Oreochromis niloticus: one gene and its partners. The protein of the gene in region 4 purifies or fractionates together with the protein of the main gene of each other region. This does not show direct contact. Links are inferred from orthologs where the notes say so. Each region holds a gene or a part of one and is shown on either strand. Other genes may lie near its edges. The genes, in order: ciao2b, pole, prim2 and mms19.

What was found.
Region 1: the proteins of mms19 (region 4) and ciao2b purify together in Homo sapiens (affinity purification with western blotting; 11 studies listed by BioGRID and IntAct, counting the BioPlex papers as one, with this or other methods). This does not show direct contact. The link is inferred for Oreochromis niloticus from reciprocal best matches to the Homo sapiens genes MMS19 and CIAO2B.
Region 2: the proteins of mms19 (region 4) and pole purify together in Homo sapiens (affinity purification with western blotting; 3 studies listed by BioGRID and IntAct, with this or other methods). This does not show direct contact. The link is inferred for Oreochromis niloticus from reciprocal best matches to the Homo sapiens genes MMS19 and POLE.
Region 3: the proteins of mms19 (region 4) and prim2 purify together in Homo sapiens (affinity purification with western blotting; 5 studies listed by BioGRID and IntAct, with this or other methods). This does not show direct contact. The link is inferred for Oreochromis niloticus from reciprocal best matches to the Homo sapiens genes MMS19 and PRIM2.

The regions. Positions count from the first base shown.
Region 1 is NC_031978.2:7,117,060-7,124,459, reverse strand, and holds the start of ciao2b (cytosolic iron-sulfur assembly component 2B), read left to right. Parts: upstream 1-4,377; 5' UTR 4,378-4,613; coding exon 4,614-4,740; intron 4,741-5,777; coding exon 5,778-5,857; intron 5,858-6,132; coding exon 6,133-6,258; intron 6,259-6,401; coding exon 6,402-6,447; intron 6,448-6,553; coding exon 6,554-6,654; 3' UTR 6,655-7,400.
Region 2 is NC_031977.2:17,883,651-17,890,677, forward strand, and holds the start of pole (DNA polymerase epsilon catalytic subunit A), read right to left. Parts: upstream 3,022-7,027; 5' UTR 2,837-3,021; coding exon 2,772-2,836; intron 2,665-2,771; coding exon 2,529-2,664; intron 2,442-2,528; coding exon 2,361-2,441; intron 2,269-2,360; coding exon 2,224-2,268; intron 2,148-2,223; coding exon 2,055-2,147; intron 1,229-2,054; coding exon 1,074-1,228; intron 978-1,073; coding exon 833-977; intron 738-832; coding exon 657-737; intron 554-656; coding exon 446-553; intron 360-445; coding exon 249-359; intron 162-248; coding exon 76-161; intron 1-75. UniProt on the Homo sapiens protein: Catalytic component of the DNA polymerase epsilon complex. Participates in chromosomal DNA replication.
Region 3 is NC_031978.2:20,005,155-20,013,030, forward strand, and holds the start of prim2 (DNA primase large subunit), read left to right. Parts: upstream 1-4,861; 5' UTR 4,862-4,987; intron 4,988-5,801; 5' UTR 5,802-5,806; coding exon 5,807-5,951; intron 5,952-6,075; coding exon 6,076-6,188; intron 6,189-6,845; coding exon 6,846-6,940; intron 6,941-7,041; coding exon 7,042-7,162; intron 7,163-7,876. Other genes in the region: rab23 (ras-related protein Rab-23), read right to left, coding at 360-514. UniProt on the Homo sapiens protein: Regulatory subunit of the DNA primase complex and component of the DNA polymerase alpha complex (also known as the alpha DNA polymerase-primase complex) which play an essential role in the initiation of DNA synthesis.
Region 4 is NC_031973.2:22,199,601-22,206,910, reverse strand, and holds the start of mms19 (MMS19 nucleotide excision repair protein homolog), read right to left. Parts: upstream 3,003-7,310; 5' UTR 2,884-3,002; coding exon 2,796-2,883; intron 2,315-2,795; coding exon 2,266-2,314; intron 2,162-2,265; coding exon 1,801-2,161; intron 1,653-1,800; coding exon 1,578-1,652; intron 921-1,577; coding exon 851-920; intron 1-850. Other genes in the region: ubtd1b (ubiquitin domain-containing protein 1), read left to right, coding at 4,087-4,168. UniProt on the Homo sapiens protein: Key component of the cytosolic iron-sulfur protein assembly (CIA) complex, a multiprotein complex that mediates the incorporation of iron-sulfur cluster into apoproteins specifically involved in DNA metabolism and genomic integrity.

The DNA of each region.
Region 1 (7,400 bases), on a different chromosome or scaffold from region 4:
ATATTAAATGAGACACACAAAACGCTGAAGCCGCTGTTAAAAATTGTGAGCTAGTTTAATTTACACCTTCAATAAATGTTCTGCCACATGCTTTTTATAAATAGTTGTTCAAATGATAGTCTCTTTGGCTGGTTCCTTCACCTAATTCCCCCGAGGGCGAGGTAAAAGCAGAAAAGAAATTCTTCCTGACTCTTCGAAATTGCTTTCCAAAGTAAGTCATCTTCTGCTGTCACTTTGTGACTGTTGCAGTCACTCTGAATATGCACATTAATGTGAAACAATGAGCAAACTCCTGAAAAGGAAAATGTGAACATTTCTAAAAGGCTGCAATTATAAAACACATAGTTATTAACTTTTCAACTGGAACAATACATCATTCTAAAAGACTGAACAATAATTTGTCAGAACTGTAATAATGTGATACTTTCCTCTTTAAGAGGAAAATGCGACCTGAAACTTAAAAAGAAGCATGATCTCTCATCCATTCTCATCTCACAGTATGGTTATAAACCATGAGTTAGATAAATAATTTAAAACTAAAAGATCTTCATTTTGCAATTTCATGTTTAATTCAGTGAATAACAAAACATAGGTTTAGCATGAGTGAACACATAATATAAAAGCCTATGTTCAAACTTCATTGTTCACTCTGTTTGTAGCTTTTGTAAAGAGAAAAAAAAGTCTAGTTTCTATAGTTTGTATTTCTCCTCCAAAAGTTTACCTTTGACCTTGTATATTTAATTCAGTATTTCATAAATGATGAAAGGCATCTCATTTTCTGACAAGACACAGAAACTCTCTGTGAGACTGCAAAGTTTGCCTCAATATGTATAATATATTTTATGTGCTCCAGTGGCCAAAACCCATAGTACAAAAGGTCATGGCTTTCTGGGCTTAATTACAACTTGAATGATCAGAATTTACACAATATTGGTCAACTTTTTTTTAAATGAAGGTTCACAAATATGGCAGCAGTGTGTCAAGTTAAACCTAAAATGTACAGGTGGAAATCACTAACCCGGTAAGAAAAAATTAGCTTTTATGCTGATGTGGCAGAGATTTTTAAAGCATTTAAATGATACAGTTTCACTGATGTCTTTTACTTTATAAACTTAAACCATGATCCTAATAATTTGCAAGTAAAGGTGACTGCATGCAAGACAAGACTTGTTCTCCTGGAAGTATATTTGTTTTATTTTGCTTTTATTTCTGTTACAAAAATGAATAAATAAAATGATAAAATCTCTCAAAATTTTCCAGGATTTGTATTCCCACACTGGTGACCATTTGCGTAGCTGCCTGGATATGCAGAGAGAGGGATATGAGGGATTCAACCTCCAAAAGGCCATCAGTGCAATGCCCTCCACAGGTCAAATAATGACTTGTTGCAAAGTTGACTCGAACAGAAAAGAGAGCAAGAGCAAAGCTCACCATTAACAGGGAGAAGTGTGAAAAACATCAAAGATCAAGAAAAAAAAAAAACAGGAGAAGCACAGAGAGTAGCTGCACTGGACAGTTTCCTTTCGTGTTTGATAATCAGTTTCCCTTCACTACAAAAGTTCTTTGCATGTTATGATTTCTTTCTCCTCAGCTGCAGGGGCAAAGCTACAGAACTAACAAGTAGCCGAATCATGAAAAATAGCAGTCGACATTACTGGTTATTCAACCTATTTTTGCCTGGCCTGAGGTGACAGTAGACAGCTATTATACACAGACATGGGTCTACAAAGCTCTGCCTGGCACCTATGGACTACCATCACACTAACATGCAGGGTCCTTTAGTGACTGTCTGCTTCTTGCTACTGTTCTTACATCACATAGCAAGAGTGAAATTTACACTCCTAATGTCAAGCACTGACCTGCGTTCTGGTGTGACTGCTGTCCATCAAGTGGATAAATCACATTTACATTGTCTTTAGTCTTTATTTTAATGCCATGAGCTATGTTGTATTAGACAAATGGTCTCAAGACTGAAACTATGAGTTTCAGTAAAGTTACAGAACAGGGTCACTTAGTAGTGATTTCCATAGTCAATAATAATGTTCCAAACTTCCTCTAGCATTAACATCAGCACAAAAAACTGTGCACAGGGGGCTTCATGGCATGGGTTTCTACAGCCAAGCAGTCCCCGTAGGTGTCATTTTTGGCTCAGTACTTTTGTCCATATAATGCCCACTTTCTCACTCTAATAGGAATCTCAGTGCATAGTTTTGGGCAGTCCTCAGAAAAAATGAGTTACCGTAATTTAAAAGTTGACTTGAGAGGGAAGTTCAAGCCTTCTATGCTTTTCCATTTCTCTGCACCTAATTTTTGCACTGCATATTTCAAAAAGCTACAAATACAGTCAAACCTAAAGACCTCTTTGCAATAAAAATTGCTCTATAGTCCTCATAATCCATTTTTTGGGAATACATTGTGACATTAAGGAAAATAATCTACCCATATGTCTGCATATTGCTAACATTTGCTGCTATTTTTATGGCAAGCTGTGAACTGGTTGTCTGCAGCTTTGTTGTCTCATTATGCACATCAGGTGTGCTGCTCCAGGCTCAACACCACCAGTGGTTCTCTATAAATATGGAATCCCACCATGCTCTGAACACAAAGACCAAATGAGGAATAATCACATAATGCACACAGTGCATGGCAGCAGCAAGCTGCTCTCCACAGGTAGCTCCATTTTATTATCAGTACTGTTGAGAATTTTAAAAAAGACTTCTTTAAATTCAGAAGCTTAAGAAACCCATGTCTGACAAACAGTGTTCATTTTTCACAAATGTTTTGACTTCAGAACGGGATATTATTTCCTTCACATTCACAATGTCAGACCATGAAAAACTCACCTCTCTGGACTCTCTACATTATGCAGCAGCAAACTCTTACTTCTCATTCTGATAGTGCACTGCATTAATGCGAGACATAAAACTTTCCTGTTTGTGCCTCATTTATCTACATGCTTCTAAACTTTTCATCCCCAAATGCTCAAGGTTTTCTAATCAGGTGTTCTGATTAGACATTAAACTTGTGAGATATTTAAGACTGGTAATGTTGATATGATTTTAATTTAGTAGCTCATTAAGATTTTGCCTTTTATAATGAAAATTTTCAGTCTTTTTCATGTAGTTGCAAGACACTGAGGTTTTGGAGTCATCTGTGCTGATAATGTAATTCTTGCATAAATTGGGCTTAGAAAAAATGTTCACTGCTGGTCATATCTAATTTCACAGAAACAACTATTTATAAATAGCATTTTACCACCTGAAACCAGAATTGTGAATCTAAAGGTTGTTAGTCCATATTGTCACAGTTAGGAAAATATTTTCGCCCTTTTCAACTGTCGCTGCCCTTATCCATGACATTTTTATTAAAACATGTGTCAGCGGCCGTGTGCAGTCTCATTATATGCACATTTTTTTCAAAAGGTGAACATATCAGGCTGAAGTAAAACTTCACATCAACCACGCTCCACATTTCCAGTGACTGCAGCAGTTCATTAAGATTCTGACTTGATAGAAGTAGTTGATGGTGATGGCAGTTGTGTAGTACAGAAATGAAAACCATATAATAATTTAATTTTATAAATAAAGTGCTTCCATAACCAGTTTGTTTTAATTTTTTCAAAGATAATCATTGCAATGAGTTTGTAGGGGCTTAACATCAAAATGGTGAAATTACTGTGTTTAATTGAGTTGTAGATACCAGTTTAGCTTTGAATACAGATACATAATCTCATTATCATGCTCGAGCTTTGCTAACAGAGAGGAAATTCTAGGAAACTAAAGTGAGGACTCATAGCTAGCCCACCAATCTAAATTACCACTGGTGGCTTGTCATAAATTTATCAGGATACACTTTTTACTCTGCATAGATGAAAAAGCAGAATCTCTCTTCTTCCCGATAATAGGTCAAATGTGTTTGAAAGAACATGCAAATTAGATCTGATTCAGGTGTGCACAAAATAAAAGAACTGTGAGAAAAAGAAATATGTTTTTGTTTAAAAAAACAACAACACACAAACTAAAATAAATTTTAAAAAAAATAACGTAATAACGTTACATGTAAAAAGTCATGTGAAATTAAGATTATTGTGGTCAGTATATTGTTATTGCAACAACACTTCTATTAAAGCGTATTTTGTGCGTAAGGTTGTTGGTGTCAAGTGCTAAAATGGGCGGTATCTGCCATCTGCCGGACAACCAGGGAGACAAATGCCAGTAAAAAAAATTATATGTACAGTCAAAGCCTTCAAAATGGGAAGCCTGGGAAAATTTGAACATAACAAGAGAATAAGCAAAGACTATGAAAGGAAATTTAAATGGCATTTTTTTTTTAAAACAAACAAACATCTGTATAGCTTACTCCGTCTCACGTCCGAAAAGGCACTCAGTTAACTGAATACGTATCTTACTGAAAGAATGCGTATTTAGCAGGAAAGAATTTGCGGGTACTGTTCCTTTAAGACTGTAGAACGTTTATGTTTTGGACTCTGCGGCTTTCCGTTATTCCAGGAAGTACTTCATGAGGGCGCTAGTTGTACAGCTCGTTTGCAGCGGCAAGCTCTGACAAAATACGAGGTTTTTACTGTTTAACGTGGACTAAAATAAGCGCTGAACATGTCCGAGGGGACCCGCTTGGAGAATGCAAACCCTGTGATTTTTCAGCGGTCGGGGGAGAGAGTACAGACGGCATCCGAAGAGGATGAAGACGTCCACGACCCCATCGACGACAGAGAAATATTCGATATCCTGTTTAAATGTTTTACTGTGGTTTAGAGTGGATTTACACCTTAGAGATATGCCCTTTATCCTTTTTTCTAATGATGTTTATGTATTATATTATTTGCCTGACTTAAACGCTAATACCAGTGCCATTCAGCTAGATAATGAGGTGAAATCGAGGGAGTTAACAGCAGTTTAAGAAGTAGCCCGATTGTATCTGGGTTTGCCGACAGGTAATAATAGTCAGTTTCTTAGTATTGAAAACTTAACTAAACATTTTGAAGTCAACTGTGTTTTAATAGGTTAGTTGACCATGGTAGATTAAACTTATAAATACCGTTAATGGTTTGGGTTACGCAATTCGTATTCTCAGGGATTGTCTCATTTTTGTAAATATATTTTATTATATAATTTGAACAATTTGACAGTTTGTAATTGAGTTATTGTTAAGCTGATGTTAGTATTAGTTGAATGATTTCTTGGACCTATGTACAGTGGCTATGCAAACAGCTTAAAGTCAAAGGATCAGACAGTTTATTTTATTACAAAATCGCACCTCTTTAAACAGGTTCACTTGTGGTTCATAGACTATGCTTCAATCTTTTGTACAATGAGTTTTAAGCCATTAGCTACCAGTTTGGGTTCAGGAGACACACACCATTACTACTTATGATCAGACTTCAGACTTAAGTTTTTGATGAAGCTTCTGGGCATTATACAACTTATTTTCACCCCTAATGTGTTTACATGCCAGTGATGCATCTTATTAACATTTGTTTTCTCTTCTTGTCCTTTCTTTCCCCTCCTCCCAACTGGTTATGGCCAATGGTAGTACTTTGATGAGCCTGATTCTGCTGGAGGTCTCTCCCTGTTACAAGGGAGCTCTTCTGTTCCACTTTTACCAAACACTTGCTTCACAGGCGATATCATTCTTGGCGTTTCTCTCTAATATTGTTGGATCTTTACTTTAATATCATTAGTACAGTGATTACAGTAGTGCAGAAAAAGAAATATTTATTATTTGTATTATACCGTCTTGAATTCTTTAACTAAAGTTACATCTGATCAGATCTATCAATGACCCAGAGCATCCACTGTCACTGGAAGAGCTCAATGTTGTGGAGCAAGTTCGAGTTAAGGTGTGTGGTTTTTTTTTTTTGGTTTTTTTTTTTTTGCTTCCTATTTTATACATTTTTCCTATGTTTGTAATAGTGTGAATAAGGAAATAAAAAGATGCTCTGCAACACACTTGCAGATACTTTAGTAAAGAAAATGGTTGAAGACAGTTGAATCCAACAACAAGCATTTCATTCAAAAGTATTTACAGTGAATTTCATTGTTAAAAATGAATGCAGTATGCTGTTAGGAAGATAAATTGATGAATGATGTTTATTATTTGTGTATGCTCCCTCAGGTTAATGATGCAGAGAATACTGTGGGTGTTGAGTTCACACCTACCATCCCTCACTGCAGCATGGCAACACTCATTGGTCTGTCAATCAAAGTCAAACTTCTGCGCTCCCTGCCAGACAGGTTCAAAGTATGTTTATGCATGTTTTTTCACATGACATGCACATTTAACCTTAAGCATATTTTACAGTGTCAAATTTTTCTGTGCTTTAATCTTTTGTTATTTTCAGTTGTGGCCTACATTACAGTATATTTTTTTCTATTTCCTCTCAGATTGATGTTTGTATCACTCCTGGGACTCATGCTTCAGAGGAAGCAGGTAAAACTCCATAGAGAGAAAGGAGGCGAGATGGAATTTTAGACCATTTTTACCAGTATAATCTAATGCATTTTTTATCATACTGTTTATGTCATTTTGTGTACAGTGAACAAACAGCTGGCAGACAAAGAGAGAGTGGCAGCAGCTCTGGAGAATGCATCTCTACTGGAGGTGGTCAACCAGTGTCTGTCCACCAGGAGCATCTGAACAGCCAGCCAACTTTAGCCTTGTCAGCTTTTAGACTCAGATTTTTGCAGGAGGACATGTTTGGTTTCTTTGAAAACTTGCTTTGTATCTACCAACTATCTGCACACCCCTACCCCTGGTATGAGTAGCGTGATCAGGATCATACAGGTTCTGTACATTGGCAACATTTACTGAATAAGAGTACAGAGAAAGCCAATTCTTAAATTCCCAAAGAATAATATAATCTGAGTGTAAGCTCATAACACAGTCTCGTTTGGACAAAGAAATTATTCTTCCACCTGGAAATTTTAACAGTGTGAAAATGCAGAGAAACTCTACCTGTTACATTTGTCATATACACTCACTGGCCACTTTGTCGGGTGTATCTGTTCAACTGCTCATTCATTTAATTATTAATCAGCCACTCATATGTGAAGAACTAAATGCATTTCAACATATATACATGAGAAAGGTCATCCGCTGAAGTTTCAGTGTAATTTAAGTGATTTTGAATGTGGCAAAGGTGTTGGTGCTAGACTGGCTGGCCTGAGCATGTTATAAAATGCTTATCTAGTGGGGTTTCCCCACTCTCCATCCACTTGTGGGGTTTACAGAGAATGGTCTAAATAAAAAGAGAAAATATCCAGTGAGAGGCAGGTTTTTGGGTGAAAATACCTTGTTGAAGAAAATGGCCAGACTTGAAGGCCACAATGGCTCAAATGACTACTCCTTATAAAACCAAACTATGCTGAAAAGCATCTCAAAAT
Region 2 (7,027 bases), on a different chromosome or scaffold from region 4:
TGCCTGTAATGTATTCTACCCACTTCACCTTTAAAGTAAGTAACTGGCTTTTACAGAAACAGGAAATAGGCTTACCAATCAAAGAAGTCTCCATTGTAGGTCACAAAGATGTTTGGCTTTGTTTCTTGAACGTGATCAAACCACCTCTGAATGAGAGCTGCCTGCAACCGTTACAGCGTGTTATTAAACTGACAGAAACACACAGCAGCCTTTTATACATCAATGCTTTATTGTTAGTGGCTACATACCTCATTGTCCTCATTAAAAACAGTGAATGGCCCTTCATACTCAGGTTTGGGGGTAAACTCAAAATCCTCAATGTTCTCAGAGACGATCTCTCGGTTTGTGATTAGAAACCCCTACGTGAAAACACAAGGATTGTTAGATGATATTACAAACAGGATCATAACAAAAACTTTAAAAATCAAACGCAAATGAACCTCACCTGTCCATCTATCATGTAGGAGATCATCATAATTTGATCCGTCTCCGCGTCTGGGAATTTCAGCGGAAGCTTGGTGGTCTCGATGTCAAACGCCAAAACAACGGGGTCCTGCAGGGAAACAGCGTTTCACAGAAAAGCCCCGACATAAATCAAAACTTCTGTATAACTCTGAATGGATGATGGAAGGCTTAAAACAACAAAATCCTGATACCGGTCGCTCCACAAGATCGTCTCTCCGTACAATCTCTGGCGGGTAAGCGCTGCCTCTGTATCGAACGTTGTACCAGTGAGCCTGAAAAATAAAGACAGTAAAGATAAGAAGAGCACGCACAGGTGTAGAGGAACATTTCACTGGAAAACACTGGAACCAGATATAGTTGATCTTACCACGTGGATCTTGAGGTCAATGGACACACGCACATGGTAAGGCACGTCATACTCTCTCATGTCCACTATGTTGTCTAACTGATCTGAAATACTCTTTGACATCCCGTCTTCATCCACTGAGGTCACGTTGCCTCCTGATAGCGCACTAAAAGGACAAAAAGGTGTCCGGGAGTTATTATAAAGCTGGAAACGTCAGGCGGAACATCAAAGGAATCTAACGGGATCGAAGGTTCGGTGATACCTTGACAACATTGAGGTGTAGGCATCGTTGGACTGCTCCCTCTCTCGGTTTTTACGTACCGCCGGGGCAATCTCACGCTTGACCTTCACGAGGTCGTCCACGGTGTTGAACGCCAGCTTGATGTAGTTTCTCTTCAGTCCGACAAGGTGGTTTGGCTGGAGAGACCAGATCAGCAGAATCAGCATGTGATTGGCTGTACAAAGTCAACACTAGCAGCCAATAGGGTTCATGATACCTTCAAAAACACTGATATTCAAGAGCCGTTTTTTTTTTAAATACTAAGGACAAGAGTGCCACAGTGGTAAGAGGATATATTTTTTTAGATTTTTCTTAAAAGACGTACACTCACTTGACCACTTTCTTAGGTACAGCCATTCAACTGCTCACTGAAACAAACCACCCAATCACATGGCAGCATCTTAATGCATAAAAACAAGCAGAAGTGGTCAAGACGACCCGCTCAAGTTCAAACTGAGCATCAGAATGTGGAGGAAAGATGATTTAACGGACTCTGAACGTGCCATGCCTAACAGGCTGGTCTGAGTATTTCATAAACTGCTGATCAGCTGAGTTTTACCTTCATAAACATCTCTAGAGTTTACCGAGAATAGTCCAAAAAAAAGGGAAAATATCCAGTAAGTGGCAGTACACCTCGTTGATACGACATTTTGATGGTTGAGTCAGAATCTGACATAAGCAACGTGAAAGCATGGATCATCCAGCCTTCCAGCCCAGTACTAGTGAGACATATCTAATGAAGTGTCCGGTGAGCATACATAAACAGATTAGATTTCTATATGACTGAAAATGTGTTGTGGTGGCGCTCTTGTCAAAAATCATCCATTAATTAACTGCCAACTATTCCTTCATTAATTCTGTGTAAATAAATATAGAAAATATTTATTTATCTACATTTATTTGACTTATTTATTTACTAACTATTTATTTATTAGATAACTTAAAGTCAGTTGAAACTCTCACCAGGTCCAGGTCTTCTTTTGGGAGAATTTCGAGCTTTGCCACCTTTCCTTGGAACTTCTTAGATAAGTATGAGATGACTTCTCTCTCGCAGTTCTGGACATACACATTTTGTTATTTATTACTTTTTAAAAAACATGTTCACTTGGCATAATCACAGTCACTAACTTACCTTTTTCGTCGCAATGTAAAAATATGGCTTGAAGGGCAGAGACACCTACAGCACAGACAGAATACATGAGAGAAAATGTAAAATGCAGGGCATTTAATAAGCTGCGTTACAGCACTCTGCTTTCCCCCCAAACACACCTTGAACCTGCTTCCATCCTCCTGTATGAAATAATAGTCCACCGCGCTGATCATCCTCTTGTCTTCATCCAGGATCTCTGCCTACAAATGCAGAGCATCAAAAATAAATGTTAAGTGTTTATTTTGCAGCAGACAGAAAGTAAAAACTGTCTCACTGCGAGGACTCACGGGGTGCATGTTGATCAGCCAGCCCGTTTTCTCTCCCGGCTCCTTCATCCTGTCGAATCCGAAGCGAGCGTCCATCTCGTCGGTGAACTGACTGCGCTCCAGCCGCTTGAGGGCCGATAAGGAGGATCCATCATCCCTGGTTCAAACACACGCAACAGTGACACTAAATCCTCACAGTCCTCGGTCATCCATTAATATTCTGAATAAGAAAGTGTTATGAAGTTTTTGAGCTGCTGGACTTACTGGCTTTCCGGATCCCCACTCGGTCCTCGGTCCGCTTTGTAGCGTCCACTGTTCTGCAGAACCATCTTCTATCGCGATGTTCTGGTTACAAAACACTAAAATAAAACAGCTAAATGTGTGCGTGAAGCCGCATTTGAAGACACGTCGCTTTAATTTCAAAGTTTTGTCTGCTGGATTTCTCTGCGCCTGTCACAGACTCGCCTGCTGTTTTCCTATTTTGGCGCGTTCCTGCAGTTGCCGCGAGAGGACGGAGCTGAGAACCGGAAGTACAAAGATCGTTAATAAGGGAGATGAATCCCTCACGGTGGTGTTGAGACGTATCTATTTAGGTTGAATGTCATGTTCATTGTAACGTTGGGGCTCATAGATGTGCCTTTAAAAAACAAAACAACAACAAAATAAATAAAAAAAACGTTAGAAAGCAAAGTGTTTACGTGATATATATATATATATATATATATATATATATATACACACACACTTTGATTTTAGTTTTTTGGGTAGACTACTAGTTTTTTGGGTAGACTACTGCTTCCTGGTAAAATTCAGCCTTCCCTGTCACATATTACCTATGATATCATATATGACATGACTTAAAAAACAAAAAACAAAAAACAAAAAAACTGTGCGAAAGGATCTCAATCAGATTTGAGTCTAGACTTTGGCACGGTCTCTCCAAAAACTTCATTTAGCTAAAAAAAAATGTTTCTTTGTTTCTAACCATTCAGTTGTGTACTTGTTGGTGTGTTTTCGATTATTGTCCTGCTGCATAATCCAAGTCCAGCCTTGAGCTTCAGGGCATGATCTGATGACCAGACATTCTCCTGCAGGACTTTCTGGTAGAGAATAAAATTCATGGATTCACCAATCACTGCAAGTCTTCCAAGTCCTGAAGCAACAAAGCTGTTCACACTACCACCACCACGTTTGACTGTTGAGTGTGTTCTTTTTATGAAATGCTATGTTAGTTTTACAGCAGGTGTAATGGGACTCAAAAAGTTCAGCTTTTGTCTCATCAGTCCACAAAAATCTCAGGGATCTGGGAAGGGAAGCTGTTTTTTTGTTGGCAAATGTGAGACGAGCCTTTGTGTCCTTTTTGTTCAGAAGTGGGTGCCTCATGGCAAAAAGAGACTAGGCAAAAATGGGTGCCATTTTTGCCTAGTCTCTTTCTTATTATTGAATCGTGATCACTGACCTTAACTGTTCTGGGTGCTCTTGGAGGATGACAACTCCTGGAAAGGTTCATCACACACATAATACAGAATAAACAGGAAATGAAAACAAAGGTGGGCATCATATCAATCAGATTCCATTATTTGAAAAAAAAAGGTGCTTGTTGATACATTGATTTTTTAATATGAACTGAACGGTCTTAAAGTTCAAGTATACTTTTTTCCCATTGTTCATGAACTCAACAGAAGACCGACGAACCAAACATTTTTCCGCTAATCGGAAGATGCTTACTGATTTCTATCGAGCAGGAACATCTCGAGTATACACGATCTTCAGAGGAACCCTTAACTCTGGGAGGAACCCCCTCCCCACGCACATGTTTACTCTCCCGCTGTGGAGTGGAGGTAGTGGTAGGTGACTTTGACATTTGTAGCTGCTGGCGAGGCACTGTCTATAATCATAAAGACATTGGCAGCGGTAGAGTTTGGAGGGATTCTGGGGTCTGTGTCACATTAATAAGATAATGACGGATGTGTTTTAATTCATGATAAGTTCCGAGTGGTGTGGAGGTGTGGGAAATAATCAGTGGGTTTAAATCGGTTAGCCTGGTACTGTTGCTCTCTGGCTGTGTGAAACAACGCAATCAACAACCCGGGAGCAGAGCTGCCCGGTTTCTGAGTGTGTGCAGGTGAGTGACAATGGCATGTTTTGATTTACACGTTAACTTTAACTTAAAAGACAGTCCCGTTTTTCTCCAGACTGAACTCTGGAAAAGATCAGATCAGTGGGCTGATTTAACTTTTATGTCAGGCAGAATCAGTTGTTGTGTTTAGTTCAACTTTTCTGTCAGAGTTCACAGATATTTGTAAGTTTACAAGGTAAAATGTTCACGCCAGAAGTTGGATGCACCTTTTTAAAAGTGACATAAAAAAAAAAAAACTCCTATAAAAAATTGATGTGCTTAACTTTTATTTAAAACAGGGAGTCATGTGAGAATAAGTCTGTTCTTTAAGGAAAAGCACAAGAGAAATAATTCATCTGCTATATGGTATCAGGATATATATTAAGAAAATAAAGATAAAAATGAAAAGTAAAGCTATTTCATAAATACATTCCTTCAGATCTTGTTGTTTCTCGAGGAAAGTGACGGTTTAGCCTTTTCCTTTTTTGCGTCAGCTTTAAATTTGCTCCAAAGGATAAATTCACTAATTTTGTGCTTCTATTATACAGACTGGATGTTAATAAATCTTTATATTTTTTCTTTATCTAAAAAAAAACATAAACAATGAAATCTTTCAATGGGACAAAGAACGCATGTGTCTAATTTAGATTCTGTATTTGGATGTGTTCAAGTGTTCCTGCTATTGCTGCTGTTTTTTATGGATGTTTTTTTTTCTTTCCCATCCTCCTTCACCTGAACTTCCCTTCCTTTCATTCCCTCAGTGCTGACCTTTACCCCACATGAAGCAGCGCATGCTCTCCATGTCAGCTGTTACAGGCAGGCTGTTTACAGGACTCTCGCTGGGAAATGTAGCCTGCAGCCAGGTCCAGCTGTCATAGATAACACACTCATGTGTGTATGCATAGGACTTAGTCACCTAAAGTATACACGTGACCTCTGAGATTGTAATTACTTCTCTTATTCTTACTTCTGTTTGACTGAATTTACTGAATAATTTACTTAATATATGAAAGTAAGAACTTCAGTGTTGCTGTCCTGAGAGAGTGTCTGACCTCTGACCTTCAAATCAGCAACTTAAACAGTACACAGAGACAAACACGACTTAGTATTTCAGTTTTTCTTATAGTCATGATGTATTTTAACATGCTTTAAAGAGGAGTTTATTTTTTATGGGGATTCATTAAGTTTGGACATCAAAAGAATTGTGCTTTTTCCAATGCTTGGAGAAAGACAAATATTTAATAGTGATAATAGTGATCTTTTAAAAAATAGTCTTAAACATTAAGTATATGAACAGTTGCCCAATTAAAACATAATAATGGCTGAAAAAAGCAATTACTTAGTTGTTTTCTTAGTTGTTATAGTCATCATTTGCCCTGAAATGGCAAGTTAAAACAGTCTATCCCATTTTTAAAATCTAGAAATGTCTTTTTTTCCATATTTCTTTGGGGTCATTTAATCTCAAATCACCTTTTACTTGACCATATTTTCCAAAAAACAATTTAATGCTGGAAATTGAAAATTTTGCATTATGTATCACAATCCTTTATACCCTGATAGTGGCCTTTCCTGCCATTAAAAATTAGTCAGGATCTGTAATTTGGGAAAGTTACACTGAAAAATTGGGAAAAATCTAAAAAATAAAAAATAAAACATGAAAGCAGTCCTTTAAAAAAATGCAACAATGTTTCATATGAACCAAGAATTCATTTTTCATTCCGCTTAATGAATCTTAATTGATTTACTGCATTTATTTGCATGTTCAGAGAAGATTATGTCCTTACTTGTTGTCTTTTTAATGCGTCTTAATAAATTTTATTCTTAACATGAATTATCAGACTCATCCAGGACAAAGTGTATGTGGTTTTTGATAATTAAAATCCTCCACATATTTAACAAAATTATTCTCTCAGATAGACTTAATGTACCACCTGGAAACTCCAGAATGTAGTTCTATTGCGATTAGACTATCTACTGATATTTTTGTTTTTTATGGTCCGACATGTCATATTTGGTCAATCCAGCATGAAAGCTGAACAAAAATAGCATTTTATTTTTCATTTTTGTGACTAAGAATTTCCTATTTATAAAGTCCTTTACATATTTTATTTTCCATTATTCTCAAATACAACTATAGACCATTCAGACATTGTCATTAGTTGTCTTTTGCAGAGTTAAGTTTGTTTTATTAATGTATATTCAAATATGGGACTTCACTGAAGGCTTTCATTACAGTGTCAAGGTCAAGGTCAAGGTAACTTTATTTATAGCCATAGGCGAGGTAAATTTGCTTTACAGTAAAATGACAGCATTTGGCATCCCTTCAATGCCAGCAATAGAAACGAAAAGAAACGATGAAAACTTAAAAACTTAGGACACCAAGCTCTCATTCACTGCCGGT
Region 3 (7,876 bases), on a different chromosome or scaffold from region 4:
TGAGAGGCCACAATGCTAACCACTGCACCACTGTGCTGTGGTTAATAAAATATTAAATAATAATAATTAATGTTAATTAAATAAAAGCTGAATATAATATGTGGCCTTTTTAAGTAAAATGTCTCAAATTTAGTCAAATTCATTTTTTTTAAAAAAAAGAGTAATTTCTGATTAAACCTAAAATGTGGGTACCAACAGGATTCCACATTGATCAGTATGCACTTACTGAAATATGTATTTAATATTGTAAAACAATTTTATACAGCTGAAGTTGTAGTTAGTTAACAGACCCTCTGCGACTTTGATTATAGACTATAACTGATAAATAAAGTAGAACATCTTTCAAATGATTATCTTACAGTATCTGCCTTTCCAGGAAGTCCACTCCAATTGTTTTTTTGTAGTCTTTAGTGAAAATGCCCTTGCAGTAACGTTGGATCATACTGGACTTGCCGACAGCTCCATTGCCGACCACGACCACTTTGATGGCCACTTCCATGTCCTCCTCCAACATGGTGGTGACGTCTGGCTGATTTTCTCAGTTCCACTGTGCCTGTGTTGTTTCAGAGCTGTGACGGGAGCACATGTACCAGCTGAAAGTGTAAAATAAAATATTAGATACTACAAAAAAAAAAAAGAAAAAGCCACACAAACACTGGACAAGTGCAACTCAAATGTGGTTTATATATGAATCACTCACTTCAGAGACAGTTATCAGTTGAACAAATATGATGAAAACCAACTTTGTTACTGAGTTTATAAGTTACTTATAAATGCTGTTAAAGTGCAACTGACGATCAAGCAAATTAGCAGAGGCGCAACTAACTGCTACTTATTTTTAATACTAATCAAACTTATTTTCAGTTTGATATGTCAATATACTGTTACAAATGTAGTTGTCCAAGCCTAAAAAAATGTTTTACAATACATTTTTATAGCCAACAGTCACAACTCAACTTTTATAGGCATAATAATATAATTATCATATTCGCCAGCACCACAAGCACTTCATTGCACTCTAATACACGGTGTCACATACACAACGTCTGTAATTAGCTTTTAAACTGTTATGGGTGCACATTTTACTAACTGTTGTAAAACAAATTTTCAGCTTGACTGGAGAGGTGGTTCACTATGTTTATTGTTCCATTAGTGCAGAAAACTGCAGACTCCGCATAGCAACCGGGTCCCCACAGCTATATATGTGGAGTGGCTGAGTGCTACGCTAAACAACATATTGTGGGAAAGCTGTTCTCAGTGGACACTGACAGCCTACTGCGTGACTGTAGTGTTCAACAGCCTGCCTGAATTTGAGTCACAATATGTATCTGTAATTGAGCCGAATGACACATCAGTTGGTATAACATGAAGGCAAAACACAGCTGAAAATAGAATAGTATGCTCTTCTTTTAATGTAAACTTTTGGATTATTTTAAAGTCTTGACTTTGCATTTCACTTTAGTTGAGTAAAGACCTCGTCTTCCTTTCAAGCAGCTAGTCCTCTCATATTCAAGTGTAGTCGGTTCTGGAGTTGTAGTTTAAATGTGTTTTATCATCACAGAAACTGTCAAACTGGGAGGTTCAGAAGCTGATTATGCATTGTTTATTTATTACTACTATAGGTTTAGAACAACATGATTCAGATTTAGATAAATGATGATGATTTGCTTTAACAGTATTTGAAAATGAGATCTGAATATGAGATCTTCATGCGAGCGTTTCCGCAGGTCCTTCCTCCCTGCAGCTGTCAGACTGTACAATCAAAACTGCTCCCAACAAACATAGAGGTTTACATCAGCGCTGTAACTTGCACTATTTTATCAACCGATTCACACTATAACCTCTTATCTGTATTTAATTTTATTTAATTTAATAACGGTACAGTACTCTGTTTTTGGTAAAAATTGTCCTTGATGTAAATATGTAAAAATTGTGTATGTTTCTGTTCTGTGTCTTGTGCACTGTTTGTTTGTATGTGTGTCTTTCTTGATGCTGTTACACCCAAATTTCCCCTTGTGGGACAATTAAAGGATTATTCTATTCTATTCTAATAATTGTGCTCTTAGTATCAATAACAGTGTGGGGCAATCTTTTAGCACTGTGGTCATGTCTTATCCCCCACATTTCTGAAATGAATCACAACTCTCCTTGGGTGATCTCAATAGGTCATGTTAGGGCAAGGCCTCACAGAGATTTCATTCTTAGCCCCCACTGATGGTAATGTGAGTGACCCAAGTTGGGGGTTTTTTACGTCTTGGCTCATGTGGTGACTCACATTATCAATACTGGGTAAGGATCACTGCCAAAGGGTACCCCCCCAGGGTAAATACTTGTGACTTTCCACCATTTGTTTTTTTAAGGGAAAAAGACTCTTGAAAGAAGTCCAGCTGCTTTCTTTTTTCAAGCTCTAAAGAAGTGACTGGAAGGTGCAGTCGAACACTTCAAGACAGGTATCAGCTACACATATTTAAACACAATATTCTCCATACCTGCACAAACAACTGTCCTGAGTAAATTCTGGGTTTTCAGATCAGTATTACCCCCCCCACACAAATGTGATAACACCGAATCTGAAATATACAGGCCTACTGCATTTTTTATATAACATGGTAGGAGAGTATGCTTTGCATTGCTATGCACATAGTACTGAATTCTGCTCAGTATGAAGCAGATAATACACCCCCCTTGCTAGACAGTGAGTCATCTTCATAGACTTACCGTTACTTGCCCAGGCCTCAAGGCGGGGCACCACAATTTTTTAAAGCACAGACTGAATAACACAGATCAAAACGCCATGACACCCAACTAAGCTATTCAACTCTGTCGAAGACTTTTGCTATATGTAATACGTTCATAGTCTCTGATGGGAATTAAGTTAGAAGTTAACTTCTCACTCCTCTTCTTCACTCAAATCCCTTGCCTTGGTCAAGATAAGACCTGTTGAATTGCTGAAAGGAGGCTCCCCTTGAAGTACAGAGCAGCTCCTGAGGTAGTGCGTTAAAGCTGGGTGAAATAAACGGTGAAGAAATGATGGGAAAGCATGCCAAAGAAGCGTGCAGTTTCTTACCTGTAAAACGACGCTACAACTCATCCAATGACATTAGGCGAGTTATGCAGTCAGCTAACCCACATCCACATATCTACAGCCTCCCGCCGCTCTTCTCCGTGGCAAGAGGAGACGCAAGAGACTCCGGTGCTAAGGCTGCCTAGCTAAGATTAGCCACTTTTCACAGAAGAAAGACAACCTTCTGCTCCGTTCGCTAACGTCTTCTTCCCTGTCTAGCGCAAAAACGTTCTCTCCTAAACGAAAGATGCCGTTTATTGACTGTCAACACCTGAGGTCACTCTCATGACATTTATAGGATGGATATCCATTGCTGCCTATTTCAGTGAGCTACGTTGCGCGTGAGAGCTAGCCAGGCAGTTGGCTAGCTCGCTAGTGTTTGTTGCTAAGCAGCAGAGCCAAAGAATGCACAAAGCAAGAGAGTCGGCGTGAACGCGCCTCTGTCCTCGGGAGTCTTGGGAACACTTGTAGTTCTCATATGTTAGCCCTAAAAGTCACGACTGTTTAAAAGTTGAATTATTGTCATTATCGCACATGTTTTTACCCCGCTTTGATATTATTTTATTCACAGCTATTATATATGTCTTATAAGCGTGCTTTATGTGGCCATATCACAACAACCAGGAAAAAAGCGTGTGAAAATTACTCACAACCGGATTAAAAAGTGCATTTTACTTTCAGGTATGTGAAGTAAAATGCATGTTATAAAGCAGAAACACGGAAATGTGTTAAAAGGGAGTACATTTAATTTCCACTACAGTTGCTCCCTTTCTGAATATGTGTCATTAATGTGAAACTTTCAAATAGTTAGTTAAATAACTTTAAATAACTGCAGCTTCATTTTTTTAAAAGGCAGAAAACACCTAACCGTCTGCTGAGAAAATTGTAGTAATGGTTGATGTCAGTTAAAAACGTAACGACGTTTTGGTTTTGTATAGGTTCATTTTACTGTATGCATATGAAACTTACCAAAAATGACCAGAAGTTGGGTTAGAATTTTTTTGTTTGTTTATTGAGTTAGCCACAAAATAAACTAAAATGTCTCTATAATATAACATGACCATTTACCAATTTCTCTAAATACAAAACTTTTGTACGTCAAACCACAATATTTTGGATTACATACACTGGAAAAATAAATGCGAAATGTCTGATCTATTTCGACCACAGAAATCACAGTTATAAATGACATGGAATTTAAACCTTTCCAGAAAGTGCTTTACAGAATATATTCTGTTTATTTTAAAACTAACATTCTTGTGTCAAACATGCGGTGTTTCATTCATTCCTGCATATACACCCGTATATCCATATGCAGTGTCTGTGTGAAGAGAAGTTTATATGCTAAGGACGTGCCAGTAATCCTTATTTGTGGATATTTGCTGATCTGATAGGTAAACTGTCTGTGGAGTAGTGATATTTCAGAAGAAAATCAGTCCAACCAACCTTATCAAATGGGCATTTGGAAAATGAAATGGGTTTCTGAATGATTTATTTTTAATATCTGGGTTTAATTTTAAAACTGTTATTAATCGTTTGAAAAACAAAGATTTTCTGTATTTGAAGATAAGAAGAACCCGCGTTTTATTGGGGCGTTTGTTATGTAATACACATGGGCCCGTGAGTTTGTGTTGGATTTGGTTCAAACGCCAAAAAAACAGAAATGGAAACATAGTGTGAAATGACAAATTTGGGTAATATCCTTTTAAAAGAAACTTTTTGCTTGAGTTTTCATGGAGGTCATCGTTATTTTGAGAGACGGGACGGGCTGTGCTGAAAAGTAAAACGAGTACACACCACTTCACAACTTTCGTTCTCTTCCGGTGTCGGATGCAACGTCATATTTTTAACCCGCGTTTGTTGAACAGCCCACTTTGTTTGGCGGGACTGCGTTATTAGGACTCTAAAACCGTCATCTAATCGGTAATGTAACGACAGTATTATATCCTGAACCGTGAAATAAGTTTCTCGGGCTGTGTTCGAGCTCGGTCTTTTCAACGCAGTTTAAACTCAAATTTGATACCTAGCAAACGTCAAATTTGGAGTTTTTCTCCCTACCATTAACTTCTTGCTATGGGCTCTATTGTTAACATAAGCTAAATAGTCTCAGTTAGCGGCTACATTTAGCCTCGAACGTAAAAATTGAGTTTATGAGAACGACAGTTACTGACTGCTGAGCCAGTGTAACATAACAAACCAACTAGCTTCACCCTGTCAGTTCAGTTTGTCTGTAGAGGCTAATTTCTAGCTGTCAGAAACATTTCGACTCTTTTCTTTAATCCCTAATTGAGCGACTGTGATGAAGATTAGTCAAGGAGAAACTCCGTTTGCCAAGTTTTGCTTTAAGTTATACCGGGTGCCACTTCTGCACAGACTGGTTAATGGTTAATAGCAGATGCCTGCAGCAATTCGTTTGTTCTGATTTTGTATAGCAGCATCCTTTACTGTGTCAAATCAAAGGCCAATGAATTTCTTAATGTTTGTTAGTCATAAGCGTTTAAAAGGTCGCTCGGGTCTTCTCCACAATAGTGTGTTTTATTTATTCAACTCCTAGTAAAGAGAAAATGGCAAAATCACGCGTTATGCATTTTGAAATGAGAACAGCTTATTTAATTGTCATGAATTTGTATTGAAGGTCGCTTTGGTAAATGGCTCACTGCATCAGATATGGCAGGTTTGGGACCCAGCTTGTTACCAAGTGGTACATGAAAACATACATGATTTCTCTTAACATCAGGCACTATGCAGTTTGGAGGCAGAAGAAAGAAGAATAGCATTAACCCTCAGTCGGAGCTCTATGGGCAGCACCTGCAGTTTTATGGACAGCCTCCTCTTGAAAACATCTCTCTCTCTGAATTTGAAACATTTGCTGTGGAACGACTGAAGTGTAAGATTTGTCTCATACTAGTGAAATTCAAATGATGAAAATTACTGTAAGCATTGTTTTCTCTGCTCTTGTGAAATACATTTTATTTAGGACATGTGGTTACTAATGTCTGTTGCCACTGTAGTGTTGAAGACTGTGGAGAATTTGGGAGTGAGCCATGTCAAGCTTACAGACCTGTATATAAGCAAACTTGAGAAAGAGCTTAAAGCTCTGAACTTTCCTTACAGACCAGATGCTGTGAGTATGTTTCCCATTATGCAACTTTAAAGAGTATTAGTGAGTCCGTTATTGCATTATGTTTTCAACAACTTCAGCTAAAGCTTTATCACAAAGAGATTTCTTTTTAAACTTCTACCTGTTACGTGTTTTAATGAAAACACAGGGTTTGGATTTGGTTAGGGTCCTGTAATATCGCACTGCACTTCATGGTGCTTGTGATCCCCTTAAAATGGCAGTGAGACGTATCTAATAAACTGTCATAGCTTTTAGAGTAAGGCCAGTGTATAGCTCAATGTGTATTAACACAGTGTTGACTTTGATGCCCTAGAACTTAAGCTTGCGCAGGATCCATCAAATTCTCTTTGCAATAGTGATGAAATAGCATGATTTAGCAATAAAATGTATTTGTATTAGTAAAGAAGAGACACTGCTGGGTGTTGCAGAAAACGTGACTCATTTACTAACATTTTAAGACCCTATGCTGAATTACAAGAGCCTGAGATAATGGAAGTTAGTGTACAGCTACCGTAAAAATGACTTTTAGTATGTGATCATTTTTTCATATATGTACATAAAATAAAAAACTGTACAACATGACAAGAAGTGGTGAGTGATGATTAGATGATTGACATCTATTTGTCTTTCAAATTACCTAATTGTTTTCTAACCCTTAAGGATGACAAGAAATCTCAAAGTGGACCAACTGAATATGAAAAACGAAGAAAAGACCATATCTCCCACTTCATTCTCAGACTGGCCTACTGCCAAACGTAAGTCTTTAGTCTCCATTTAGGAATACTGAAAGATGTGGTCAGAATAGAAGTTGTTCAGCTGCAAAAGATAAATGTTTATTTCCATTTGTCTCTCAAAGGGAAGATCTGAGGCGCTGGTTTATACAACAGGAAGTTGATCTTTTCCGCTTCCGTTTTAATGACTTGGACCCAAAACAACAACTGGAATTTCTTCACAAGAATAATCTCCGCTATGACACAGTAAGCTTTCCTAAAGAAAACACTTGGCACATTTCAAAAACAGGTTTGTTCTGGAAATTATAGTTGAGGAGGCTTACCACCAAAAAAAATTCCAACTGGAAACTTGAAATTTGTGTCTTCTTGTGATTGTGACTTATTCAGAAACACACAATTTGTCTTTTTTTATATCACCTTCAAGCTTTTTTTTTTTTTTTTTTACTTAGCTACAGTGAGTTTCTCTGGGAAAATTATATTCTTCTCTCCCATCATTTCAGCCTGAGAGTTTTAATTAATTAATTAATTTAAAAAAAAAAAAAAACAGTCATCAGTCCAGTGGAAACACTTTGGAAAGCTGCTTCTCTTCCAGCTGCCTCCTTGGACCTCAAACACTATTACTTATTTTTCTACAGCTTTTCTCCTTATTTCTTGCCTAGAGGTGCAGGCTTCTCTCTAAGAACAATCACTATTTTCTCTGCTTCCCTGAAAGTAAATATGTTTCCTTATATGAAAAAAATTGGGGCGGGGCAGATAGTATGCAAATTGTAAGGCGAGTCTATGGGACTGTTGGTTCCGAACAGCTATGATTTACTATTGTATGCATCGTGGTAAGATCAAAATAAATAATAATAATCCTAAATCTGGTGGTAATTTTGAGTGGGAAGAAATTTGCGGAGTAAGACCTTTTCCACATAGATATTAATAAATGAGGCTGATTGTCCTGTTGCATGACCAGTT
Region 4 (7,310 bases):
AAATCACTCTTTGATGACTCTGAATGCTGTTATTAGTCATGTTGATTTTTATCATATTGGAGATGAAGAAGAGTGTAATGATTTTTTAGACTCTGACAGTATTCTAAATATAGTTTAAAATAAAGTTAATAAATGTATTCCAAGGTGCTGCACATCGACAAATCACCTAAAAGCAGCCTTACTGGGTCTGATTAATATCACCAGTTTGTAATTAAACTGTGTTATCTACAGTTGCTGTAACCTGCATGTTGTCCCTGTCAGGTCAGCTGAATAATGAAGATTCACTACTCATTTAAAATCTGGTTAGATCCCAACTGTTTTTTCAAAAAAATATATAATAATGAAATGATTCTGTGTAAATGAGTAAACATCTCTGCTGTTAAAATCACACTTTTCCCCTCTTCTGTTTTTTTAACGAAAACAACACGATCCAACATGACCCACAGAATTAAACAGGAGGGTCTTGACCGTTGCCATGGTGAACATAGTCTGGAACCAAAAACTCAGAGCTTACATTTAGAGTTTGTTAAATCTGCTTTCTGGAACAAAGCCCAGGTCACAGTACCATCCCTCCTGTAAACATTTCCAGTTTAACAACTGGTAGCTGAGCACAAGTATTTCACTGTCAGCCCTCCATTTGCATCTTTTACAGTATGGCTGTTATCCTAAAATATTAGCCAAACAGAGGACAGTGTGTCAACGCCTTCCATTACTGCTGTGAGATTGCCCGACTTTTAAAGCTCATGCTTAACTCTTAAATCACTGGTTACTTCAACATGACCTGCTTCCTTCCACAGAGCTTTCTGTCTCTATTAACTGAGGTTTTGTGAATCAAAACATAATCTCTTACCCGCCTCTCTGGTCTCCATGATGTTGATAAGCATGCTGTAGACACATGCTCTCTCTGATAGCATCAGAGACTGCAGGGGAAATAAATACATTTGTTATTAGTAGGAACAGTTTTAGATGAGTCAGTTTTACCAGCAAAAACAATAACAGAGAGGAAACAAGAACATCTAACAAGTGTGGCTAGATGTTTCCGACAGTGTGTTACATTAGGTTTTAAAAGCATTAATGTCGGAAAAATCAAACAACTGCGAAACTAGGAAAAGTCATAAAACGTCCACTAAAGTCAGAATAAACAACTCAGACAGTCGAACTGTTGATATCATATTACAAAAAAAAAAAGTGGAATGTAAAATGTGAATTGTTTGGTTAATCATAATAAATTATTTGATTAATGGTGAAAACTCATGCACTGCAAATTGCTTAAATCTAATTTCTAACATTAGCATTTTGTCATAACCCTCCAAGTACAGTGATCTAGATTAGTTATAAATGTAAGGTGATTTATTTATAAGCAACAACTTGATCTTGACAACAATTTCGGTTAAGTAAAATACATAATGCAGTCTTTGTAAAATCCATATTCTCTTCAATTCCAACTTTAAAGAACACAAACACATCAAAGCTCACAACTAAGTATTGAAACTATGAAATTATGTAGGTAAAAATCAATCCAGCACTGTTGTTATTCCTCACAATAACACTTTAAATGTACAATATGACAGTCTCACCTGTACATGGATGTCCTGGAACACTGACCTCAGCATGGACACAGCTGAGCCAGGAGGCAGGTTTGTACATTTTGTCTGAATGGGGGGAAAAATGCACATTAAAAAAAAAGAAAGAGGAAATGCATAACCTGCCTCACATTTGGAACTTCTCAAAAAAGTCCCCCAGCCTGAAATAAAGTTACAGATTTGAGCAGAAACAAAATGTTTTCAAAGAACGACTAACCAGCGCCTTGAGCCCCTTTAAGACGGGAGGTGTGACGACATAATGATCCTTCAGACGGTTTTCATAGAAGGCAATGAGCACTTCCACTGTGGAGAAGAACAGGAAGAAATGCTGAGTGCTGATCGCCCCTTGACATGAATAAGCGTCATCGGAAGACATATATGGATATAAAAATGCAGTTATTTGAAAGCATTTTTGATTTGTCACTTTGCACGAAGCCGTACAATGCCAGCACAGTATATGGAAGGAGAAAGGTGTACCTTCTCTCTCTGTAAGATCTCCATAGCACTCCTGCAAAACCTCAGAGAGCAGATGGACTCCTCGGGCTCGAGTGTGAGGCTGAGAACTGGTCAGACTGGACCTTTAATAGGAAAGGGAATGAAGATAGAAGTTGGTATTAGATAGGAATGTAATTGCAAACTCTGGCTGATATTTTCCCCTGACATGACGATGAAGATTGCTTACCCCAGTGCTTCCACCAGCTGCAGAACTGTAAACTTCCCATCTTTGACACCTGATCAAAAAACCCCCAAATAAGTTTAGTGAAGTGGAGTGATGCGCTATCGCAATGCAAATACACGCATGCTCTAACTCTAGTAGCTGTACCAGGTTATAACTCAAAGGTAAGGCCACAGGGTTCATTGACAGGGTACTTCTACACAAACACAGCAGCTAGCAAGCAGCATGTGCTTTAACCGCTGCGGACTAGCATCAAATTAAGAGTCCTTGTGAAGAGACAATGTGTTCAAACTTGATGCATACATCCAGAATGTGCATTTACGCCAACAAAATGAGCAAATATATTTTCACGGCGAATGCTTGCTCTTTATCTTGCGGTTACAACACTACACAGGATGTTGTAGCGCTAAGTTAGCTAGTTAACCATCACGTCTCGCTGCGCATCCTCGAAGAGCAGCTCTACAGCCTCTCCCGCGTTACTTTTGTGAAAAATGCATCGTAAATGTCACCGGCAAACCGCGACGAAAGCCTTTTACCTTTTGCCGCATCTTTAGCCTTGCTGTCCTGCAGTCCAGACACAAATTCCTCCACCAGAGACAGCGCCAAGGTACTCTCCGCAGCCATCGTGTCCCTGTAACTACTTCGCTGGCACTACGCATGCGCGAAAACTTTAGGTGAATCGCGAAAAGCGACTGGTTTTAGATTATAATCTCATAAAAATATAACCTTTAAAAACAGTATAATATTATTTCCACACAAAACAGTGTCTTTTCATCTTTATAGAATGAAAAGATTTACCGAATGGTGGAAGAAAAGCTTCAATATTATGTCCTTTAATGCTGCATTCACGTACCGTCCGAACAATACTCTACAAATACTAGAACTCGCAAAAGTGGAATTCTCTTGATGTTCCTGATGTACATCCTCTTCCTTCCACTGAAGTTTTGCTTTTAAGAGGTTCCAATTAATTACTACTAGTATAATTTCAAGTATAGACATTAGGAGAACGTGTAGCTGTTGTATGATAACTCCGGTGTACAAATTAATTTGCGTACTCCTGCATTCATAATTGTGTCAAGTCCTGACGCAATAGAAACCAACACCTGGCTGGATGCTTTTGCGCAAGCGTAAAGAAAAAAGTTCGGCGGCGCTAGCAGACCGCCGCTGGTCACCTTTCACCAGCGAAGTGGAGAGAATTTTTTTTTGGGGGGGGGGGCTATTTAAAGAAAAGACTGTACCGAGCTCGTCAAAGAACTGAAGTACTCCTTCGTACGGCGGACAGAGGGAGGCTGTAATGACCCGCTACGTTTGTCATAGACGGAACATGCGGGGAAATGATCTCGTGCGCGCGGAAGTTTGTGTTTACTTACGCCGCGGTAGCTAGCGTGTTGGCCCTGTTAGCCTGTTAGCGAGAAAGGTGCGCTGTGCCTGGACGGGTTAACAGCAACACTTACAAGTCAGCCCAGCTTAACGAGCTACGTTAAACAGTAGAAACATACTGTATATATCCTGAAGCTAACAACGAGCTGGTGGCAGATGCTGCGGATTGCTCAAACTCTTGAAACATTGGTGCGGGCCACGAGCCGTGAACTCTGCGTGCGCGTGTCACACGCAGGCAGAAATTATTTACAAAGAGGGCACTTTAAGCCCTAATCTGAAACGTATAGAGCTGCAAAACGTGATTTAAATATTAACTGCCGCCCTCAGTCTTGCGTCGCTGTGCGCACGAATCATCCTCCTCATCGGACCTAGTACAACATCCTCGTCCGCAATGGGGCCCCTGTTTAGCCATTGAGACCCGTGGAAGCGATCTGGAGCCCGTTAACCATGGGGGGATGTATGGGCAGATACTTGGAAGGCTGGGAGGACTCGCAGAGCCGGGGCTCCTCCAGGAACGGTGGACGAGGAGGTAAGGCAACATTGTGTGGATGTTGTATAAATATGCGGGGAGGTTTCTTTGAAACATCAGAGCTGGAAACTTAAAATCATACAGCAATAGTGTCTCTGACCGTTCATGATTAGTGATGCCAAAAAAAAAAAAGAAGAGAGAAATATTCCTGCGTTGATAGTTTTGTGTTGCCAATAGCAATAGCAGGTTTAGACTTTACTCAGAGTGCATTTCTGGTCACCACTTGGCCCTTTTTTGTCTTGTGGCTGCTGTTAAACAGAGGTATCTGGGCAGGTGCACGAAATCTCCATTCACGATTACTCACACACACATCTTAAACATGTATGAATTGTTTAGAAGGGGTTTAGATCTGGGTGGGTTGGTTAAAGTTACCAGATTGTCTAGTTACAGAAAGTGGAAGCAGGTTGGGAGGTGGCAGTTTGCATTTTGTGTGAGGAAAGTGGATTCTGTTGTAGCTCTCTTTGATGTGTGCCTCTTCTGCATCGGTAAAAAAAAAAAAAAGGAGTTTATTCTTTAGCTTTGACAAGGTTTTTTTCTCATCTTATCAGTTCAGACTGGTGAAGCAGTATATTCAGATAACATCTGTAACAAAGCTGATGGCAGTAAACTCGTTGGGTAATTTTCGTATATTAAAATCTAGGGTGTAAGCTCTGTGTTGTGGTTACTGTAACAGCCAGCTACATTACATTAATTCCAAAAGTTGCTCTCTTTTCACATCAGTTCATGTCTGTTGGTTACGGACTTTCCTGAAAGTTAACATAATAATAAACTGCTACTTTTTTTAACCAACCTGAAGTTAACCATCAACACACAGGCTCCGTGCAGCTGAATTATTAGACACTGGGAACTTCTCCTTAGTTTCGATTTACAGAAAACAATGCTGATTATATTTTGTGTGACCTTGTTATGATACCCTCAGTCATTATTGGGAGATTAGCGCTTTACAGCCTGGTAGGTTCATGAATGGGGGTCACATAAACACATTGGGATGGGAAAAGACTTTTCAGCTTTTTCAGATTTCTGTCATATTGCTTTAAAAGCATGCTCACTTGTGTGACTACAGTGCAGGCCCACTTGAGCTCAGTGTTTGCCTTAGAGTGGCTGCTCAGGAAACTAAATGTCTGTTATTCATTTGGATGCAGGTTCTGTCCCTTTGATTTGTTACTGCTGGAAAGTTTTTCAGTACGCCTTTTTCTAGTGGGAATTGTCTCCAGTTTGCATCAGAAAGATGGGAGGTTTTTAAGATTGATTCCAGCTTTCGCCATATAAAAAAGGGCGTTGTTTGAATAGACTTTCTGACCCCTGCTTATAGAGTTGCATCCTAAAATTAGACACTAACATAGATTTTTGATGCCAATATGACCTTCTAAGTAAGTTTCTTTGTCGTGTGCCAGAGTAGCTATTTAAAGTTAAAGCTGTCACAGCCAGCATACCCAGGCTTTCTGGCAGTGGCTCATGTTGATTTCCCAACTTGATTAGACTCAACATGCTCCCTTTGCTAGACGAGGCTTCGATCAAGAACAAGTCACATCATGCCCCGCTGCATCATTGACTGACACTGACTTTTGTCTGTTACATACACGCTCATAAAGAAACACCACTTGATAAGAGAAGGAATTGGATAGCTTATATGGGATCTCAATTTTTCCATTTGTTCTAATTTCGTTTGGATGAGAGCTCAGTAATTTGTGTTACTATGTTCGTGTTAGGTCTGCCTACCACATGCTCAAAGGAACAAAAAGGAAGCTTGTTTGTATTGTCATGCTGAAACAAAATAATGGAAGAACAAGTTTGGACTTTAAATAAAGATATGCAGACACCCGTTGAAATTATCATTTGTCCCAATAAAGGGATTTTATTGTGGAAGTGTTGGAAGTTACAGAATATACAAGTTAGTAACACATTTAGAAGCAGCACAGATGTAACTGAAAGGTGATTAGAAATGCACAATTTCCAGTTTATCTTAAATATTGATTTTTATAAAGTCAAATATCAATCAGGCTTTAAGAGTATATAAAACCTGCTGAATATATATATTCACAAGGTTTGCTTGCTAGTTTTGTAAATCCCTTAATAATAACAGTAGACTGATTAGCCACGATAACGTCAAAGCTCTCAAAGATTAGGATCTCAAGAATCAACAAAATAATTCACTGGAAACTAAGCTGAACTGTGAAGGAAAGTGAAACCTGCCCGTTCCAAGGTGGTGTATCTATTTTGAATGTAATTGCTTCAGAAAATAGCTTGATTAAGGAGAAACACATTAATTTAGTTGACAATGTCTGTAATTTAGTGGTGTTGTGCTTTTTTGTTTGTTTTTGTTTTTGTTTTTTTAAGCATCTCTGTAACAGTGGTTTGCAATTTCAGTCAAAAGCAAATATAGATCAAACCTCAAACCAGCTTCCCCATGAGTGACTCTCAGCACTGTTTGTATCCAGCTGTCTCAGACTAACCAGAAATCAGCTGGGCTGTTGTATTGTCATGTCAAGGCTCGATTCTGACATGGAGGCGTTCAAGTCATAGTTTCACTTTATTGGCTCGTCTCGTACCGAGCAGGGTTTCTGCTACATCAGCACATCATCGCTATGGTTGAACCTAGGGCTGCTCAATTAATCGAATTTTAATCTCGATTACGATCTGGGTTTTGAACGATCATTAAAAATGACTGAGCCGATTATTAGCACCTCCCTCGTGCTTTACTCTCGCGCTGCTCCGTGTGGCAAATCGAGCGCACCTCTCTGCGTTTCGAACACGCGTCACAACAATTAAGAGGACCCGAGGGAAGCTCGGAAAGCTAAGCATAAGTTATTTGGAGAGGAGAGGATAATGGCTGCTGAAGAAAGAATGCCGCTGGTTGAAAAGAGAGGTAAAACGACTTCAGTGGTGTGGAAACCAATGTTCCCTCTAAGCTGCGCATGTGCGCAATTGCGCACTGCTGGCACGGTCTCTGCGCACAGAAAATCTGCGTTGCGCACAAAAAAAATCTAACCTGAATTGAAATTAAAATTAAAACTTTAACAATTCTGTTTTGCAGTGTTAGTCAGTGAGTGACTGGCTGCTCCTGTATGGGATTAGAACGATGCCACCTTATCCTACAGTCCAGCCAATAATGCGATTCACATTCGTATATACGCAGCCAATC